2 linked regions of the Stegostoma tigrinum genome follow. The protein of the gene in region 1 interacts with the protein of each later gene in a pairwise test. Links are inferred from orthologs where the notes say so. Each region holds a gene or a part of one and is shown on either strand. Other genes may lie near its edges.

The links.
Region 2: the proteins of aqr (region 1) and znf830 interact in a two-hybrid assay, tested with the Homo sapiens proteins (2 studies listed by BioGRID and IntAct, with this or other methods). The link is inferred for Stegostoma tigrinum from reciprocal best matches to the Homo sapiens genes AQR and ZNF830.

Annotation. Positions count from the first base shown.
Region 1 is NC_081363.1:64,633,517-64,644,996, reverse strand, and holds the start of aqr (RNA helicase aquarius), read left to right. Parts: upstream 1-6,120; 5' UTR 6,121-6,396; intron 6,397-11,480. Other genes in the region: uncharacterized protein LOC125455427, read right to left, coding at 1,277-1,375, 5,589-5,705, 5,835-6,120.
Region 2 is NC_081355.1:92,354,583-92,365,019, reverse strand, and holds the start of znf830 (zinc finger protein 830), read left to right. Parts: upstream 1-5,635; 5' UTR 5,636-5,647; coding exon 5,648-5,769; intron 5,770-10,437.

The DNA of each region.
Region 1 (11,480 bases):
AGGTGGGAATGATATAGCACAGTCTCCTACATGGATAAGCTATCAAGCAGGATTCAAGGTTAATCTTGTTGTGAGTTCCAGGCATCAAGTAGTAATATATTTAAGTTATAAGACTACAGAAATTCATTGCCTGGACAGCTAAAATATCTTTTTTCTACGCATATAACTGCACAGTTTTTGTTTACTGCTCCAGATATCCACAAATTGATACTCAGCTTTGGAACCTCAGTTGCCTCTTGTGGTATCAGTGCTTTGCATTTTGTTTAGAATTCAATTGAAATTATACTTCAAAAGCCTAGCCTTCACAGCTGTGTTCCAAAGACACCAGTATATAATGTTATGTCATTGAGCTGACATTTCTTGTCTCCATTTCCCAGTTGCACAGTATTTGTTATATAAGTCTTTGTTCACTCTCCAAAGCCTACAGGGTACTCACATTTTTTACCCAAATCTGAAGTCTGCACCGGAGACGTCAGTGTGAGAATTAGGCATATTTTTACAGCTTTCCCCAAAATTGTTCCACTATTTTGAAACAAGAGAATTGAAGGAACAACAGCTCTTGATATACATTACTGATTGATTCAAGTGTCACAAGGTTCAACAGAGGTGTTAGGTGACATCCATTTGACTGGAGCAATTCCAATGCCTGCATCCCAGCACTGGACATGTTTTGTGATGAACATTTTCGTTATAAATCCTGGTGTGAATTTACTAAATAGGTGTGTGCCAGATTTGTACTGAAGCTAAAATGTATGCAAACAATGTTTTTTTAAGTGTTCCTTCATTGTACTTTCATTCATATTCAATTGTATGACGAATGGTCAAAAAATTATATGGCAACAATAATTTCTAACAATGAATACACTATGGTAGACTTAAGTTATATGAATGTCATAAACTATAATAATGTAACTGCTTTGAATCAAATATTACTGGTTAGGAAAGATAATAAGTGTGGTATTCAGGGAAACTGAATGATTTGTCAAAAATGCCTCAATCCCAGCTGTAAACTCTGGTCTATTTTAGTTACTTTATTTGCAAATACAGTCTTTGCATTTGCCCCTTGACAGCTATCAGGACTCATTTATCTTTCATCCTATTCAGCTGTCAGGCAGGAATAGCGCACCTAAAGTGTGATCTGACCTTAGTCCCTGAGCCTGCTTGTAAGTTTGAGTTCAAATCATTTTCTTTAATTTCAGGTCCTCCGTCACAGGCGAACAGCCTGGCAGTGCCAAGCACCTGGAGATGGGTACGGAAAATAGGTGCTGGTGCAGACCTGAGAGGGATGCAGCAGCAGGTATGGCCAGTGACATCAGGGATTTCGGGCTATTGCCAGAAGTTCTAACTAGAAGACCCATATCACTGTTCCCTGGTCCTGCAAAACAGAAAAAAAAGACTTGGTTTGAATTTTGTTTCCTTTATTGCCAAATCTTTAACATCAATACCTTTACACTGCTGAGAGGGAAAAGTGAGGTGGAAGGTCAGAAAAGTCTCCTTATGTCTCATTAATATGGCAGCTTTTAGCTGGAGCCTATGAAGATCATAAATATGTCACATTTTTATATAATTTGAAGGTACTTGAGTTGCAATGAGTCAGTTCATATGTATGCCTCTGGAAATCCACATATATTTGAGAGGAGTGCTGGGCTTGTCAAATTACAAGGTTTGCTGTGCAAATATAAAGGATGGAGATTTATTCCAGGGCATGGGAAAGCTGGAGGGAGTAAATGCCGTGATTAACTGACAGTGTCATTTGAGACATTGCCAAATGGAAAAGGTCCTCACGCAGCTGGATTCTTTGGTTCCTACAACTTTATAATGGCCTCTCCCTCGTGATGTTGTGTGGCCTCTTGCTCCAGCTTATCCATATGGGGTCCTCACCGAAGATCAAAGTTATGATTCATGCAGCACACAGAATGATTCATGAAACTGTACCAGAGAATCTGTCAAAGCAACAGAATCAGTGACAACTCCTAAAGAACACATGCACCTCATTAAATCTGTGCTGCTGCTCTCTACAAAAGGTGCAAAGAGATCATGAGCCACAGCTGCATGTTTCTGGTTACGTTTCTGGTTTCCTACTTTGCACTGTTCAGTCAAAATAAATAACAGAGACTGGACTATCTTGAAACAAGTGCATCATAACTTCTGCTAGGGAAGTATGCATTCACCTGCATTATCCTGTGAAAATGGTCACATAGATTGTTGAATAGTCCTTCAAGCTCCTGTACAATGCAGTATTCTCTGAAGCAACAATGAGTTTCATTTATATATCACCTGTAACATATAAAGCTACCTAAGGTGTCTAATATTTGCCACTCAACCACACAAAGCAAGATTAATACAGTTGACCTGTGGAGAAAGAAATAGAATTAATATTTGAATCAAAGCTAACTTGAAGGGTCCCGACCTGTAACATCAAGCTTTCCTGCTCCTCTGATGCTGCTTGGCCCGCTGTGTTTATCCAGCTTCACACCATGTTATCTCTTCTTCAGAACCTTGATGTTTTGTTTCTCTCTCCATAGATGCTGCCAGATTTTCCAAAGTTTCCAGCACTCTCTGTTTTTTTTTGCCCCCAGCATTTACAATAGCATATTTCTAATTTGGATTAAGTTTCAATTCTTGTTTTCAGGAAAAAAAGGAAGCTATACAGATATAGCGAGAGGATTCCAGCGCATTGAATCCAATCAACTACAGGTGTGGTCACCAATGATAAGGCGAATAATACCGAGGATGTGCCAAAGGCCATCAATGAAGGAATTCAGAGAGTTTGAAGAGTTGTGGGGTTGGAAGGGATTACAGGCATAGTGAGAGGTAACATCGCCTCATGGAGAGATTTGAAAATAAAGATGATTTTTAAATTAAAGCATTGCCAGACCAACCATCAGTGTAGATCAGTGCGCGCAGGTATGATTGGTAAACGTGAATTGTTTTGAGTTATGACATAGACAGCAGAGCTTTGGATGAACACAATTTTATATAAATGGGAGGCTGACCATTGGAATTATCAAGTTTACAGTAAACCATAACTTGTATGAGGATTTCAGCAGCAGAAGAGCTAAAACAGGATTGAAGTTAACCAAAGTTACAGAGATGGAAGTAAGCAGCTTGTTGATGAAGTGTGTATGTAGTTGAAAGCTCAAAATGGCATCAAATAAAATAATAAGAGGACAAACAGTCTGATTTAGCCATAGACAATGACTAGGCAGTGGAACGGAGCCACTGGTCAGAGAGTGGGTTTGTGGGAGAAGACCTGTAGCTTTGATCTTCCTAATAGTTAGTTGAAGGAAATTTACACTTACTTAGTTGGATAAGCAAGGGAACAAATCAGAGAGAGCTAGTGATGAGGTGGGTCTGGGTCTCATCAGTGTACATGTGGAAATTGATAGTTTGATTTCCAAAGATGCTACTTTGGGGCAATATGTAGTTGAGAAAAAAAAACAGAGCCAAGGAGCAAACAGTTGAGGTCGCAAAGTGAAACTTCGGCTACAACTGGACAGATAGAAGTGGATTAGATGAGTCAGCCAGTTGATTGCCAGAGGTACGGGCTTCAAGAAGAATAGGAAGTGTTCATTTCCCACAGTCACAATGAAACAAAGAATATCATTTGTGACTTTGACAGCAGTCGATTTTTTTGGTTCCATGACTGAGTTTAAGCTGACTGGTGGGAATCAAATGTAACATTCTGGAAATGTTGGGGATGGTTTTTGGAAGTGATAGCAACTTTGAGGGCTTTGGAGAGGAAAGAAAGATTTGAGATGGTCTGACACTTTGAAAGAGGGGTCAAGAATTTTTTTTTCGCAGATGTCATAACAACAGTGGATTTGAGGGGACCGTGGCAGTATCAGATGATAGTGGAACATGTGTGAGTAAGAGAATTGAGATGATAATCTTGTGAGCTATATTATCTGCAATGTTTGCACTTGCTTAGCAAGGTTTTCTTCCTGTTATGCAATTTTACTTAATTTGTCTACCATTGAAAAGAAACAGAGCTGAAGTCAAGAATGTACAAATTCTTGAAGGATATTACCCTGAATATCCTTAGCTTTGCTATCTGCCAGTCTAATTTTGTTCAAACTAAAATTTCTCCCAAAAAATCAAAGCCATCTTTTTCTGTCACTATCGTGTGTTCTGTTCATTTGTCATAGACTACAATTGCATCCCCAGCCACTTGCTCAGGTGAAATCAGGTTGTATGAAATCTCAGCACACAGTCTAGTATCAATTCCCACATCCTGTCCAAAAGTGCTCATTTTTACCCTCACAATGTGTGTCACTGTTGTCCGTGCCTAAACCCCCCATACAATAAAAATACTTATCCACTCACTGTTCTGCCATTTGTACACTTGATTTGTACGATATATTCTTTGACATCCTCACTGACCAATTTGTCCAAACTCATACAATGTCTGTCCCTTCAATTTCCACTGATGGACATTAACTCCCTGTGTCCCAGCAATGTGAATTCAAAATCCTCATTGTTTTCATTATCAATGTAACCGCCTCTACAGGCTTCTGCAACTTAAATTTCTTTTCTCGAGCTTTGCAACCTCTTCCTCTGGATTTCTCACCCGGTCCATTATGTCAATTCTGCTCAGTCAGAAGTCACACCACACCAGGTTATATAACAACAGGTTTATTTGACATCACAACCTTTTGAAGCGCTGTTCCTGCACGTGACAAAGAAGCAGCGCTTCCAAAGCTTGTGATTTCAAATAAACCTGTTGGAATATGACCTGGGTTTTTTTTCTGATGAAGGGTCTAGGCCCGAAACATCAGCTTTTGTGCTCCTAAGATGCTGCTTCGCCTGCTGTGTTCATCCAGCCCCACACTTTGTTATCTCGGAATATGACCTGGTGTTCTGTGACTTCTGACTTTGTCCATCCCAGTCCAACACCGGCACCTCCACATTCAACATTAGTGCCAAAGTGTTGTCGCGCTTTGTCGTGACATCATCATGATCCTTTATTTCAGTCAGCATTTTGAAGTCCACCTAAAACACATGCTTCAGCTGAGTGTTCAATCCTATCTCCTGGCTCAGTGTCATCCTTTTATTTTTTATTTCTCCACAAACTGCTTTGTGAAGTGGACATCAAAGGGTGTTTTTCCCCCCTGTTTTACAGCGTCAATGCCTCCTTAAGAGATCTCTTCACAGATTCTTGTTTTGAAAGAATATCAAACTTCGGGCAAGAAGCATACAGCTCAGGAGAAAAGCCACGTACTTCCTCATGTTGCACCATTGATTCTGAATATCACCATCAAATGAAGTTCTGGCGCATTCAACGCCAGAATTTATTAAGTGGTACAGCTCAAGGATTCTTAAATGTACGAACTCGCCAATTTGGCCATTCACACAGTCCCTGTTACTTTTAAAAGCCCTGTAAAGACCAGTACTTCCAATGATCATTCCCTCATATCGTCACATAGTTTGATTACTTTGGGGGCAATTAGGCGGAACTTAACGTGGTAAATATAAAAATACGTCAAACTTTAGCCCACGTTGCACAAACCCGCGCATGATTCGTCACCGTTTTTTTTAAAGACTGCATGGACTAAAAAGCTTTTGTTTTATTTTTTAAATAAGTGTACCTATGTTTTCAGATCGAAGCACCTTGCTGCTAGTAATGTAGGTTTGAAGTCGGCCCCATGCTATTCGAGCGTCTTGCTTCCAGTCCTCTGATTGCATTCCTTGCTCCTTGTTTGCACCTTAAGAGGGTTCAAATCACAGGCTGGTTATTGCAAATAGTAGGTTCACATTGCTTACTAATTATTGCACCACTTTCCCCTTTCTAGTTCTAGGCTCGAGTTATGACCATAAATCGCAAATGAATACACCTTCTGCTCCATTAACGCGGCCCCAGCTGAAGGTGCAGTTTGCAAATGTTTGTGCACCGTCCCTCATGTTGTGTTCAACTGTTGCCGGGACAGCAGCGGACACGGAAGAGCGGAAAAGGCGTAAAAAGGCTGCGAGATGACATCCGCGGACACGGCTCTCGCTTTGAGTCTGCTGGGCGGCCACTTTGCCCATTGCTATGAATGAACAATCTTTGCTACATGAGGGTGTCGAGAACTCAACAAATACGCTAGCATTCGTCTTCTGTGGCTGTTTTCTTCGACGCATTCACATATTGCTATGGCAACATTTAAGACTTGAACTACAAAATCGAGGAGTTGGCCGGGAAAGCTTGACAAGCACAGCCTGTCAGATGGTGCCAGCAAGTTAATTGTATCACCCCTTGTGCCTACTACCTCAGGCGTGGCCATCAATCATTGAGGGACAGGAGCTTACAAAACTATGATTCAGGAAAAAAAAATCATAGATCAACTTGTGCCATCTGCTACAGGAATACTTGAAGTTAGTCCTCAGTTCAGGAGGAACTTCACTTTCTCTTTTCAGGTTAGCACTGGGCGCATACTCAAGTTGGCCAGTTTCCTGCCAATAGATGCAATAAGGGCGCAACAGATGCATAATTTTAAAACGCCCACATTTGTTTTCATTGCTTTCCTCAAGTAAATGTTCAAAATATTATCAGCCTATTTAAATCTCCTAAAAGTTAGCATTTGCCTTCCATAGCACTCCAATTTGGGACACTCATATCTTATAAATTTAACAAATTTACAACACATTGCCTTGAAATAGTTACAAATTAAGGCCTTAAAATAAAAATAAGACATTTTAAACTTCAAACATGTTCATACTGGGAAATTTTGAAAGAATATAGTAAAATTATTTTTTTCGTCGCTGCATGTAGGGCAAATGCTAAATAAGGCAAGTGTCTTCAGAGGACTTGTATAAATATCTTTCTGTTGTCATCACTATAATTGGGACATCCTGAAACTGAATAGTGCCCGTGAGAAAAAAAAGCAGCAATGCGCAAAGCTCCCCAGCAGAACTACCAAAAACTGCATTCCTATCCCAAATGCTGACCTGAATTCCATTCTTTAAACACAAGGTAAATTAAAAGTCTGTTACTATTACTTGACACTAGGAACAAAACAATAGGACCATTGAGAAGGAGAACCATGTTTGGTTCTTTACATTGTGTTTATGGATATACTTCATGGATTATGAACAGGACTGACAAAATATTAGGCATTTAGCACATTCTTGGATTATTTTCTGATATAGTGTGTAAGGAGTTTAAAAAACACATTCACAGTAACACATGTCCTAGTTTATTTCAACATGGGATTTGCACCAAATTCTCAAAATGCAGCCAAGTTCATACACAATATAACAAGCAATTCAACAAAAAGCAGAAAAAAAACAGTTCTGAACTTAGGTTTAGGAAATGTAGCTAGTCAGACTAGCAATAGGAGAATATTTTTGTTTTAGTAATTATAATTCAGGTGGATTTGCTGTAGTTATAGAAGAGGACAAAGATAGACCAGGATCAAAAGATTCCAAGTATGTTTAGTCAGTTTTATTCACCTGAATTAGCAAGCTGAGAGGCAGTCAGAGGAAATAAACAGGATTCACAACAAGTATTTCCACAAACAGAAAGTGAGACTCCTAAGCTTAGAGCCATAGAATGTCAAAGAGCATACACATGTGAGACAAACATTGGGAAGTTTACAGAGATATCAAAACTTAATTCTGTTTTGACAAGTGCAGAAAGTGCAGGGGTAACATTGAAATAAAGGAAATTAGGAAAACAAAGAGATATCATGAAGTTAAGTCAAAGAAAATTCAAATATATTTCATAAATATATGAAGAGCAATAGGGTTTCTAAGGGCAGTTAAAAACCAAAATAGGTAACCTGTATGTGGAGGCAGAAGGTGTGGGCTTTATTGTTAATGAACACATTGGAAGTACGAAGGGAGTTCGTATTTTTGAAAGTAGATATCAGACCCAGATGAAGTGTATCCCTGGAAAAATATATTTAAGGCTTTGACCATAATTTTCCTGTGTCCTCTTGCAGCAAGCATATAATCTATAAATTTGAGGACTGCTAATGTTGTATCCTTGTTTAAAAATGAATAAGGGGGTAGACTGAGCAATTCCAGGCCAGTCAGCCCAATGCCAGTGACAGATACATAACTGAAAAAGGTTCAAAGGAATGGCATCAACCTTTATTTAGAAAGACAAGGATTATTCACAATAATAATTCAAGTCAATAATCTTTAATCATCTAAGTTTAACTTTGTCAGACCCACTGAATATTTCTTGAATGTTCTATTTTTGCCTCAGATTCCAAGCATCCATAGTGTATTCTTTCTGTAATGATTAATTGAAGCGTCGACATGGATTTCTTAATGGAAGGTTGTATCTGACTAAGTTGATTGAATGTTTTTGTGGAGGTAACAAACAGGGGCAATGAAATTAGAGTGTTTTTGCATAGTCTATCTGGATTTTAACAAGGTGTTGACAGCATTCCTCATGAAGGACTGATCAGAAAAGTGTGAGCTCCAAGGGCAAGTGGTAAGTTTGATTGAAAACAATTTTGTAGCAAGTAATGAATGGGAATAATGTGACCACGATTCTGCTTCCAGTGGGGTCTATTGGGCTCAGCACTGACCCATTGATTTGCCAGGTATGTATCAATGATGCAGGGGACATGACTAAGAATGTTGCAGGTGATATGAAAATTGGCTACATGGTTGAGAGAAAAATATAAACCAGCAGCTTGCAAGAAAATGTTAATGACTTGGTGAAATGGGTACAAAGTGGTATGTGAAACGCAATCCAGGGAAAAGAGATAATGCACTTGGGAAGTCAATAAAACAAAGGAAAACAAAATAAATGGTGACAATTATAGAGGAACAGAGAGACCTTGGAATGCTTGTCTACAGATCTCTGAAAATAAAAGGATAGATGGTGAAGATGACAATGAAAATATGTAGGTACAAAGTTATTGAAGTTAAGCAGCTATTTATTAGTTGAAATATATGTTAGAAGAGCGGGGAGGCTGAATTAGCCTGGCCAATGCTGGAGAATCACATGTAGTTCTGATCATTCTGATCACAATTGAGTGACTACAAGGGATATTTAAGAGAGAGGCAGACTGCCTGTAACAACGGAAGGCCGGCTGCACCACATGCTATCAGTAAACACTACTTGGCTCACTACTGACCACAGAAGCAGGCAGCAACATGCCAGACACCTGGTGCTATGCTCTAATCGGGTAAATGAGTTGGCAACACCAGATTCTCCACAGAAACTCCACAGGATCAGTATAACCAGGTCACAAATCACAAACCCTGTGTCCAAGAAATGGTGCAAAGCAGCTTATGGCATTTTTGTTGTAAAAACAATTTTACTTTTATTTTTGACTTTTTTTATTCCATCCAAGTCTAATTTTCATATCTCTCTCTTTCTGTACCTAATTTTAAACTGAATTCATCCTTTCTAATTTACAAGTCCTCGTGCATTTTATTCACAATTTTAATCTGATTGATTAAGGAGATAAATGGATATTCGATGTTCAGTCAAATCCCAGATACATGATAAAAACCAAAATAACTGTGGATGGTGTAAATCAGAAACAAAAACAGAAATTGCTCGAAAAGCTCAGCAGGTCTGGTAGCATGTGCAGAGAGAAATCAGAGTCAATGTTTCAGGTCTGGTGACCCTTCCTCAGAACTGATGGTAACCCCCAGGTTGCCTCACTCCAAATTCATCAGATCACACTCTCAACAACTTGTAACATGTTGAGTTTAAATGAACAATGAGTTCAACGAAAGATGAATGGTGCTTAATGCATTGCTACAGCAAATTATGGCCCATTGATGAAAATAGATGAACCCATGACACAGTTAAACAAAAATTTCAACAGGGACTTAATGAAAATCCTTATAAAGGGTAGAAAAAATACTTGAAGTACTATCTTTGAAAGTAAATGCTGAAATAAGTTGCATTGACAGCAACACAGACAGCTGAACAAAAAGCTGTGTAACTTTAGCAGGATACACTTGTTTTATATATATATATATATATATATATATATAGCTCATCTTGTCCCCCATACAATAAAATATATTCAACAGCACTGCCCATGTCCCCTTACCAACTCCAGCACACACACCGAACCTGTACCAAAAATCCTGTACAGTCAGTGCTCTTGTGCAAATGGGCATACTGCCTACAAAATTAGAGCCACACATGTATTCCATATCAACTGTGCTTTTCATAAGTTTTTTTACATTCGAATTTCCTTCTTTAGTTTATATTTATTGATTAATTTCTCTGAGCTTGGAATACAGGTGGTATTTCAAACAGTCTCCTTATGCAATGAAATAAATTATCTGTTGACTGTTAACCTATATTGAATATATAACGTGAACGCCACATACTGTGAGTGTACAGGATATTTGCCATGGACACCCTGCATGGAAACTATTGTATAATGAAAACAACCTGGGTTTATTGAAGTTGGCTTGTACAGTGAAGAGCGGGGAAAATTGTTAAATTTAAGGAAGTTAAATGTTAAGGATGTTAAAATAAAAATAATGAATCTAGTTCTTTATACTGTGAACTTTTGGTCATATTTTTACTCTAATTTAAGGGATTAAACCCAATCTCCAAGAATGTGAAATGTCTTTATGGAAGACTTAAAATGTTTGTTGGGGGAAGGTATAAATTAATAGCAGACACAAATGTGTACAGTAGATAAGAATTAAAGCCAGCATAGCTAAAACTATAACACCAAGGACAATTAATAGTTGCTATGTGTTGATTTGTTATTCATGTAAATGGAAAAATGTAGGACTACTCCGCAGATCAGGCAGCGTCTGTGAAGAAAGTAACAACATTCACAATATTTTGTCTTTTGGTATTTATTATTATTGGTTAAGTTTTCTTTTGTTAAACATATTATTTCACATCATTTTGGAAAAAATACTCATGGTTAAATCCAAAGAAACTAGCACAGTAGGGTGAAATGAGAGTATGTAAACTGGTGGTTGTATTAATGCCAAAACCAGTCAAGCTTTCACTTCACAATACTCTGTCTGACCCTGCTAAGTTACATCAAATATCAGTTGCTACTCAGTGGTAGGTTAGATGTCTTCAAGTTGCCACAAGTGTCCCAAATGATTAATTGGGGGTCAGGAAACAAACGAAAAGAGAAATTGCTAGTGAAACTCAGTAGATGTGGCAGCATCTGTGTGAGAAAACAGGGTTAGACAGAGTTTCGAGTTCGGTGATCTTTGTTCAGAAGTGCTTTTAAGTCTTTTGAGAGCTTATTACACTCACTTGTTCACTTTGTCCTTTGATAGGGCCTTCATATTTCCTTCCCTCTGGTGTAGCTGAAAAGTAAAGAATTGATTTCTTTTTGAGAAATCTAAATGCAATTCCCAGTAGAATCACAGTCCAATTTAAAGAAAAAAACACCATTCATGATAGCTAGAACATTTCTTTCATCCCCAACATTTTAAAGATCCTGTAAAAATTAAATTATAGCTACAATTGACAAGGGGGCAAGATCTGTCAACAAAAATAAAGCACTACTTCATCTGATGATTATGAATTGAGATCTTAT
Region 2 (10,437 bases), on another chromosome or scaffold:
CTCCTATGTCTTATGGTCTTATAGGTGGTGGTGGAGGCAGGTACAATTACAGCATTTAAAAGACATCTGGATAGCTACACGAATAGGAAGGGTTTAGATGGATATGGGCCACATGATGGCAAATGAGACTCGATCAGGTTTGGATCCAAAATATTACTACAGTGATTTCCTCCCTCTCTCTTCTAAAAAAAAGTCACGTGAGGGTTAAAAGCAAGGGAAAGTAAGTGGTCTTGCTCTGCTGCTGGTGAATACAACAGACAGTGATAGGTGAGTAGCAGGTAAGTCTTTACAACTCCTATCACTTACAGTACATGTTTTGGCTTCTAATCTGTAAGGGTAGTACATGGACTAGGAAAGAAGGGCCACAGATAACTGGAACAAAAACGTAAGTTGCTGCAAAAGTTCAGCAGGTCTGGTAGCATTTGTGAAGAAAAAATCAGAGTTAACGTTTCAGGTCCGGTGACCCTTCCTCAGAACTGATGGTAGCTGGGAAAAAGTCTACAGATAACTGGATTTGATTTAAGAAGGGTCCACTGGACCTGAAATGTTAACTCTGATATTTTCTTCACAGATGCTGCCAGACGCTGCTGAGCTTCCAGCAGCTTCTGTTTTTGCTCAGAGACTATTTAATGTAAAACTACTAAACTTCATCTCTTGCCTTCTATTATTTGCCAAATACTATATTGCACAAGGCAAGGTAAATGAATGCATGGCATACCTCTATACTACTATGTCCCTGTACTGTGTGGCATTCCACCTGTTGACTTATACCTCCACCATCTTTTTCTGGTAGAAGCTGGCCATTCTAAGCAAGGAATAGATAGAACTTTATGAGATGCAGCATTGTCAACATTCTCTACAGGGCACTTTGGGAGCCCTGTGCACTGCTTGGTATATAAGTTACTTATTTGGTTGAAATTCAGGCTTTGAAAGAAAAGTAGCTGTGGATTCAAAATGGTTCCAAAGGGTTCAATAGAAAGTTGCTGCAACATTTTCAAGTTACTAAAAAAAAGCTTGTGATGTAGATATAATGCAGTCACTTCTAGTAGCTTTTTATAAATCAACCTGTTTAAGCATGTTATAACAACTATCTGGAACAGGCAGGGCTTGAATCTAAAACTTCTGCCCCAGACGTACAGACACTACCACCGTGCTGCAAAAGCCCTGAGGTCTGGAGTCCAACAGCAATACATTACCTCCCCTATATTAAACCACCTGGTTATTTCAGAGATGTTATTACATATTTCTGGAGCAGGTTAGACTTGAACTCAGGCTTTTGTGCCACAGAGGCCTTATGTGTCACATGAGCTTAGCAAGACATTACTTCCTGATTCCCACATTGCAGTTTTAAAAAATAATTTAACAGTTGTGGTCCAACAAACTTGTGACTCTTGAACCACAGCATTGATTCTTAATTGCAATTTGGACAACTGCTGAAGGGCAAAACATGCTTGCCTAATCAGAGACACTCATATTCCATTGTGAATTACAAAATGTGCTACTGTCATTGCAAAATATATGTATGCAATAAGGAAAATGGTATCAGTTATGTGGACAGGGACCTTTACCTGCTGTGGAAAATTTATACCAAAATTGTTGTTCTGTTTCCACCACACTCAGATCAATAGCTTCCTCGTGTATGATCTTTAGTATTCTGTACTAAAGGATTTTTTTAGAATAAAGCATTTTTCTGGAATTATTTTAGAAATATGCATGCTGTGACTGTGCATATATTGCTGTGCTGAGATTAACTGTTGCATAATCTACATAAATGCTGAACTCAGTCATGATCCATTAGCAGGAATTACACATCAGCAGATAAGTTTACCGTGAAGCAAATCTGCTCAACCAGCAGTACCCCCTCCAAGTTTCATTGAAAAAGTTTGTGTATATCAGCGTTGGCAATGGCCTGATGAGACATTGTGCAATACTGAATTTCTACTTTTGACCTCTAACCGTATTAAGGGAGATTAAAAATGTATCAAGATAGCTAACTTCACCAGATCAAACCTTGAAGTTGTCACTTTGCAGATTAAGATGCACCCATAGGCATGGCCCAAGAAATTGTTTTGCATTTTTGAACTTCCCATTGCATCTCAGTACTGATTTTACAAATCTGATTTTTGTGTAACATATTTGTTTGTATAATCATACCTACTTTTAGGTCGATTTGAAGTGCTACTTACTCTATATTACCAAACTGTACATTGATGAATATAGTACAATAAAATTGTGATGCTGAATTGCAGGAGACCACTCACAAATGTGCGTCAAGCTGAGTTTTGAGATAGCCAAAGAAGCTCAAGCACAACTCAATTTTGCCTAGACATATTTCATGCAAAAACAAGCAAATAAAGACACAGTAACTATGTGAAAAATGCATTTCCTTTTATTTTCAATTTATTCACACTTTACAACGGCCGGAGCATGTACTGTAAAAAGTATTAAAAATGTTGGGGTTATCTCTGGAAAATCTCAATAAACTTTTTCTGCTTAACATGATGTCTTTGGGGAAATGTGATACAGAATGCCATGCTGTCAATGCAGTCAAACATTTTTCAGTGTTTGTGTTCCAGCACAAAACCCAGGCCATTTCCACGGCTGCAGAGCTTTAGTTAGGGAAACGCAGGCATTCATTAGTCTCTTCACAATTATCTGCCATTTCAGTGATACTTACATGGCTTCACAGAAAGATGTTGATGTCAAGTGTCAAGCTTGCCTGGAATCTTGTGCTGCAGTGCAGCCTGACTCCAATCTGATTGATTGGTGTGGTCACATGACAAGTTAACACAAATTCAATAAATCTGGAGTTACCAGTCCAGACTTTTGATATATGAACAGCATCTTTCTGTTAGATTTCCTAACTTATCTACAGCTAGTTCAGTTTTCATGTCCACATTGTTGCTTAATTTAACTTAGAATACTAGTCTTGGACAGCACGTGGATAAACTTCAGAAGTTATTCATCCCAGTCAGGCATAAAATTAAAACGGGAAATGTGGTCAGACCACAGCTTGCAAGGGAAACTAAGAATAGTGTTAAATCCAAAGAAGAGGCATACAAGTTGGCCATAAAAAGCAACAGACCAAAGAACTGGCAACAATTTAGATTCCATCAAAAGGAAAGAAACAGGCAATTAAGAGAGGAAGATAATAAAATGTGAGGCTGGATGAACACAGCAGGCCAAGCAGCATCTCAGGAGCACAAAAGCTGACGTTTCGGGCCTAGACCCTTCATCAGAGAGGGGGATGGGGGGAGGGAACTGGAATAAATAGGGAGAGAGGGGGAGGCGACCGAAGATGGAGAGTAAAGAAGATAGGTGGAGAGAGTGTAGGTGGGGAGGTAGGGAGGGGATAGGTCAGTCCAGGGAAGACGGACAGGTCAAGGAGGTGGGATGAGGTTAGTAGGTAGCTGGGGGTGTGGCTTGGGGTGGGAGGAAGGGATGGGTGAGAGGAAGAACCGGTTAGGGAGGCAGAGACAGGTTGGACTGGTTTTGGGATGCAGTGGGTGGGGGGGAAGAGCTGGGCTGGTTGTGTGGTGCAGTGGGGGGAGGGGATGAGCTGGGCTGGTTGTGTGGTGCAGTGGGGGGAGGGGATGAGCTGGGCTGGTTGTGTGGTGCAGTGGGGGGAGGGGATGAACTGGGCTGGTTGTGTGGTGCAGTGGGGGGAGGGGATGAACTGGGCTGGTTTAGGGATGCAGTGGGGGAAGGGGAGATTTTGAAACTGGTGAAGTCCACATTGATACCATATGGCTGCAGGGTTCCCAGGCGGAATATGAGTTGCTGTTCCTGCAACCTTCGGGTGGCATCATTGTGGGTTAATTAAGAGAGGAAAATGGAGTGTGAGAGAAGGATTGACAGGAACATACAGACCAATGGTAAAAACTTCAACTGATATGTGGTGAGAAAAAAAAAGTGAGAACTAGTTGGCAGACACGAAACAAACAGTTGAGATAAACAAAATAATAACCAAAAGAATTGTGGATGTTGTAAATCAGGAACAAAAACAGAATCCCCCTCATCCTCACGTGCCACCCCACCAACCTCCAGATCCAACGCATCATCCTCCAGCACTTCCACCATCTGAATTCCGACCCTACCACCGCAGACATTTTTCCCTCCCCACCCTTATCTGCTTTCCAGAGGGACCACTCTCTCCGTGACTCCCTTGTCTGCTCCCCACACTCCCCTCCAGCCCCACCTCACCTGGCACTTTTCCCTGCAACCACAGGAAGTGCTACTCCTCCCGCCTCACCCCCATCCCAGGCCCCAAGAAGACTTTCCACATCAAGCAGATGTTCACCTGCACATCTGTTAATGTGGTACTGCATCCGCTGTACCCGTTGTGGCCTCCCCTACGTCAGGGAGACCAAGCAGAAGTTTGGAGACCACTTTGCAGAACACCTACGCTCAGTTCACATGAAACAACTTAACCTCCTAGTCACGAATCATTTCAACTCCCCCTCCCATTCCGCAGATGACGTGTCCATCCTGGGCCTCCTGCAGTGCCACAACAATGCTACCTGAAGGTTGCAGGAACAGCACCTCATATTCCGCTTGGAAATCCTGCAGCCCAATGGTATCCATGTGGACTTCACAATTTTCAAAATCTCCTCCTCCTACCGCATCCCAAAACCAGCCCAGCTCGTCCAAGCTTCCTTAACCTATCCTTCCTCCCACCTCAAGCCTCACCCCAATCTCCTACCCACTAACGTCATCCTGTCCCCTCAGCCTGTCCGTCTTCCCTGGACTAATCTATCTCCTCCCTACCTCCCCACCTACACTCACCTTTACCGGCTCCATCCCCGCCTCTTTGACCGCTTTGTCTCCTCTCCACCTCTCCTCCTTTATCCAAATTCTATCCACCTCCCCCTCTCAATTTCAGAAACCCCTTTCTCTGCCCCATTTCTGAAGAAGGGTTTAGGCCCGAAACATCAGCTTTTCTGCTCCTAAGATGCTGCTTGGCCTGCTGTGTTCATCCAGCTCCACACCTTGTTATCTCAGATTCTCCAGCATCTGCAGTTCCTACTATCTTTACAATGTGTTATCTATATTTTAATCACTCTGTTCAGATATATTATTACAGCAGGTGGGACTTGAACAGAAGGTTCCTAAATTCTATGTTTCTTAGACATACCTTTCTCCTCCTCAAACACGATGTAAATTGCAATCACATTCTAACTGCTGCTACCCAGAGGTACCCTTCCTGTGCGGACGATGTCTGGCAGGCTGAAGCAGGGATCTGCATCCATACACTTTGTGGGAATGACAGTGTGACAAAACGGCTAAGCGATAGCAGGAACTGCAGATGTTGGAGAATCTGAGATAACAAGGTGTAGAGCTGGATGAACACAGCAGGCCAAGCAGCATCAGAGGAGCAGGAAAGCTGACGTTTCGGATCTAAACCCTTCTTCAGAAATACGTCGGGAAACTGACCCCTCAGGAAACCGGGAATGTATGTCGCCAGGAGACATTTCATTTCAGGAACCCGAGCACCATTGTTATGAATTAAATTAATGTCTAATCCTCATCCCACCCGTACAGTAATTATAATAACTGTTACCTTACTCAGCATTCGGCATCTCAACAACGCATCCACTGCCTGGGAAGCAGTTCCGGGTTCACACCGGAAACGGTCTTCTCTGTCAAGATGGCGGCACCTGGTAAGGGGAAGAAGAAAGTTGTTGACCAGCAGGAGCTGCGGCGGTTAATGAGGGAAAAGCAGCGGGCGAGCGCGGCCGGCAAGAGGATCGACTCACCACTCGCTAAATATCCTTTTGGAGGGTCCGGAGGAAATGGGAGTTAGATCTCTTCTGCCAGACCAGGAAACCGTTTAACTCAAAATCAGGAGGATTTGTCAGGCCTGAGGGCGTCTTGGTCCATTTCGTGATCGAGATTTTTCAAATTCACACATCTGAAGTGACACTAACCACATACGCCAGTCAACAGTTTGCATTTACAGTACACCTCATCTTACCCGTGAAGTGCTTGGCATAAGAGGGTTTGCCAGGCTAAATTGAAGGGGGAGGCAAGGAGTCTAAGCATGAACCTGGCAAATTCGTGGGAACAGAAGCGTTTTCCTTGAAAATTATGAGCGAAAATAAAAGGATCCTTGGTTAGTTTAGCTCAAACATTCCCAGGCATCAACAATCGCTCCTCAGCTGTTTGATAGTTGCATTCCTTTCAGATTCCATTTGTGCTCTTCTAACAACTACAGTGTAATTGTTTTTTATCTATCTCTGTGGTTTATTTTATATTGAAACTTGTGGGCTTGATTTCCAAGATTCATTTGAGTCACAGTTCTGGGTCATGTCTTTTGAAGATCTTTATTGAGATTTTCCAGAATAATCAAACATTTGTTATTGGAAAATCTTTCCCAATCATTAAGTAGTTTCATGTGCAGTTTCCTGAATAAGTGGCAATATTATTGTTATGGGATAGCTAAGTTGAGTTAAATGCATGACTTAAAGATTGTTTTGGGTGTAATGGCTTTCAGTTAATGTGGCACTAGTACTAGCTTAGAAGATCAAATCTGGGAATTGAATATACAGGGTATGTGACATTTTGAAAGGCTAGCAAGAGTAAAAGGTTGTGTTGTTTCTTTATTAGTTACGGACATGCTAAACTTAAATAAGGTCAATTAAAAACGGCAAAGTTAGCTGGTGTGGACTAGGAAAGGAGTTTTCAGAAAGATAATTGAGGAACAAATGACAAAGGAATAAAATGAATACTTTGCATCAAGAAGAAACTAATTGCATTCCAGAATAAGAAATACGAAAAAGATCTCGGGGTAGAATGGGGCTAACGTCTGATATATCAGTGGTCCTGATTCATTGCATCCGAGGATTTTAAAAGAAGTAGCTACAGATAGTGGATGAATGGTAATAATCTTCCAGTCCTTAGATTCCATAAATGCCCCAGATTATTAGAAAATTATTAACGTAACACTCTTATTCAAAAACTGACAAGAGACAGAGGAAAGTAACTAGGCCCGTGAGCTTGATTTCTGTCATTGGAAAAATGTTATAGTCTATTATAAAGATGTAATCACAGTGTGTTTATAAATGTTTAATATAATCAGTCAGCATGATTCCATGAAGGGGAAATCATGCTTGAAATGTTTATTAAAGTTCTTTGAGGAGAATAGATAAGGTAAATCGATAGATGTAATGTATTTGGGTTTTCAAAAGCTTCTGCACATTAAGTCTTAATAAGACAAGAGCCATGATGTTAGGGGTGGCATAGTTGCATGAAAGAAGATTGGCTAACAACTGGAAGACAGGAAGTTGGGGTGAGGAGGCATATTCAGGATGGTTGTAATTAATGAAGTACTACAGGGATAAGTGCTGAAGCCATAATTATTTATAATATAGATTAATCACTTGGATGAGGAAAATGATTGTATTTTGGTCACTTTTGGAGAACACAGAAATAAGTGGCTAAGCCTCGTGAGGATGAAACAAAGTGTCTGCAGAAGGATAAAAATAGGTGACTTGATTGGGTAAAGACTTGACAGATGAAGTATAATGTAGCAATATATGAGGTTATGCACTGTGGCAGGGAGAATAGATGAGGTAAATATCAGTTAAATGAGGAAAGACTGCAGGAATCTGCAGCAAAGTGATTTGGGGGGTCCTCATGCATAAATCACAAAAAAGTCAGCATCAGTGTTCAGCGGCTAAAAAGAAAGGCATATGGACTGTTGGCCTTTATTTCAAGGGAATCATACAAAAATAGGAAGGTCTTCTAAAAGCTGCACGATGCACTAGTTGTACCACATCTAGAATACTGTAAATAGTTGGCCCCTTCGTTTAAGGAAAGTTGGCATTGGTGTCAATCCACAGAAGTTTCACTAGCTTGATTGTGGGTAGGGAGAGATTTTCTTATAGGTGAAATTGAGTTGGAGTTTGGAGGAATAAGAGAAAACCTAATTGAAACATTTTAGGTTCTTAGGGGGCTTGACAGAGTAGATGCAGGAAAGTTGTTTTCCCCTTGTATGAGAGTCTAAGACCAGAGGGCATAATTTCAGAGGCTGGAAGTTGTCCATTTAAAACTGAAGAAATTTCTTCCCTGAGTACAGTGAATCTGTGATTTTGTTTTTGTGTCACATGGCTAAAGAGACTGGGTTAAGTACATACAAAGCTGAGATTGACAGACTTTTTATCAGTAAAGGATTCAAGGATTAATGGAGAAAAGGCAAAAAAGTGGTGTTAAGGATTATCAGATCAGGCTTGATTTCACCGAATGACAGAATAGACTCAAAGTACTGAATGATCTACTCTTCCTTCTCCTTCTGATCGTTGGTCTTGTGAAGTCTGCATCAGTGGGCTTTACATTTTCTTTCTTTATGGATTAGGTTTTAACTTTGATGTTATAAAGTAAATTGGACTTCAAAATGATTATTGAGGCTCAGGTTTGTTTTTGGACTGACAACCTGCTCCCTAGCTTTGCAACTATTTCTGTGTCTGCTAAGCTGGTTTTTACAAATCCACAGAGTTGTAGGAACCTCTTAAAATTACTTCCTACTGACCGTTGCCTTGTCATCTGTAGTTTTCTCCCCCTTGCTTCTGCCACTTTGCACATTGATCTGCTGTTTATCTCCAAGCCTCCTATCTGATTATTGTCTTGTTGTATCTCAACAACTTTTCATGAGCATAGATACATGAAAAATAAATTGTTATTTTGACAGAGAAGACAGGTTGAAGTCAAATATAGGAACAGGGCACGCAAAAGAGGCACTGCAAACAAGTGGACAGGCAAACACAGTGAGCAGTTTGGTAATCACATGGGAATTTTCCTCCCCCCTTTATCAAGGTGAAAACACCATGCACATCATCAGCATTCTTCCAACTAAAAGAGATAATGTATATACAATAAACCAAAGCATTTAGGTTGGGGTAGTTACAATATGCCCTTTGGATGATTTTTTTAAAGAGACCAATCAATGAGATGCAGGTTTTGCTGAAGTGCTGCAGATTAAGTGGTTTCAAATATTATTATGGGAAGTGTTGGCAGCAGCTGCCACTGATTATCGTGGTGATTTTGGTGATTTTTCTGTTTTCCTCTGTGTGAAAATCAATTTTCAAGGCCTTTTATAAATAGCAAAGATGAAAGTTGCTGAGCTCCCTTTCTTGAAAACTGTAAAACGTTCTGGTTCTTTTAACTGTGCATATATTAAATCTGTCACCATGGACTTAATGTTGCAGAATTTGCTAGTTACTTGCAGTGGATTCTTGTTTAGAGTGGCCAAGGATTGATTTACAACGCTGTCCACAACAAGTTTTCTTGACAGTGATAGACAAGGAGAACCGGTTACAAGCTTGAGAGAGATAACCCCTGAGTCTTTCTCACAGTCTCTATTGGAGCAAATGCTGCAGTGTCATTACCACAGAGAAGTGCTGTGATCAGGACTTATCAGTCTGAGTGAATTGTAGAGTTCATTGTCTGCATCCATAACATTAATTGTCGAAAAAATATCAGATTCAGTGAATTCAAAAGATGTTGATGAAATGTCAGAAAAAAATTGAAGCTTTCACATGTCAAAAGTGCTGTTTCCTAAAATAATTCACATCATGAAGCCATGAAATATATGCTTGTGTATTATGGGGCCAACAATGTTGATTGATGGCCACTAACAATAATTGTAATATTAAATGGTTGCTTACACCATTTATTGCTAGATTTAACTTTTTGCACAAGTTTAATGGCTTGTTACACATGTACTTCAAACTTCTGGGAGTTGAAAGATTGTATATAATACTGCCAAAGCTAGCTGTGCAAATGATCCAGAAAAACTTGCTCACTATAAGTTCCTAGCCAATTTCTATATTCATAATGAAAAATCTTGGCTATTATCTTTTAGATTAGATTCCCTACAGTGTGGAAACAGGCCCTTCGGCCCAACAAGTCCACACCGCCCCTTAGAGCATCCCATCTAGACCCATCCCCCTGTAACGCACACACCCCTGAACACTACGGGCAGTTTAGCATGGCCAATCCACCTAGCCAGCACATCTTTGGACTGTGGGAGGAAACTGGAACACCCGGAGGAAACCCACGCAGACATGGGGAGAATGTGCAAACTCCACACAGACAGTGGCCCGAGGTTGCATCTGAACCTCGGTCCCTGGCACGGTGCTAACCACTGAGCCACCGTGCCTCTTTTAGCAAAGTGAGTTATCAGATAATCCAAAAACCCATTCCTGTCATGTTGTTACTACTGAAGATGCATGCTAAATTTACATTTGCTGATTCTTAAGTAAAATGGAATAATTATATCATTTTAAAATACAAAGACTTTGTTGTGGTGCAGATGAATTATTGAACCCTATTTTGCAAATGCAATGCTGATGAGGAAAATGTAATGAACAAACTGGTGACAATTTTGAAATTTTTATCTTTATTTAGAGTATCACGAGACAATGAAATTCTTTCTGTACT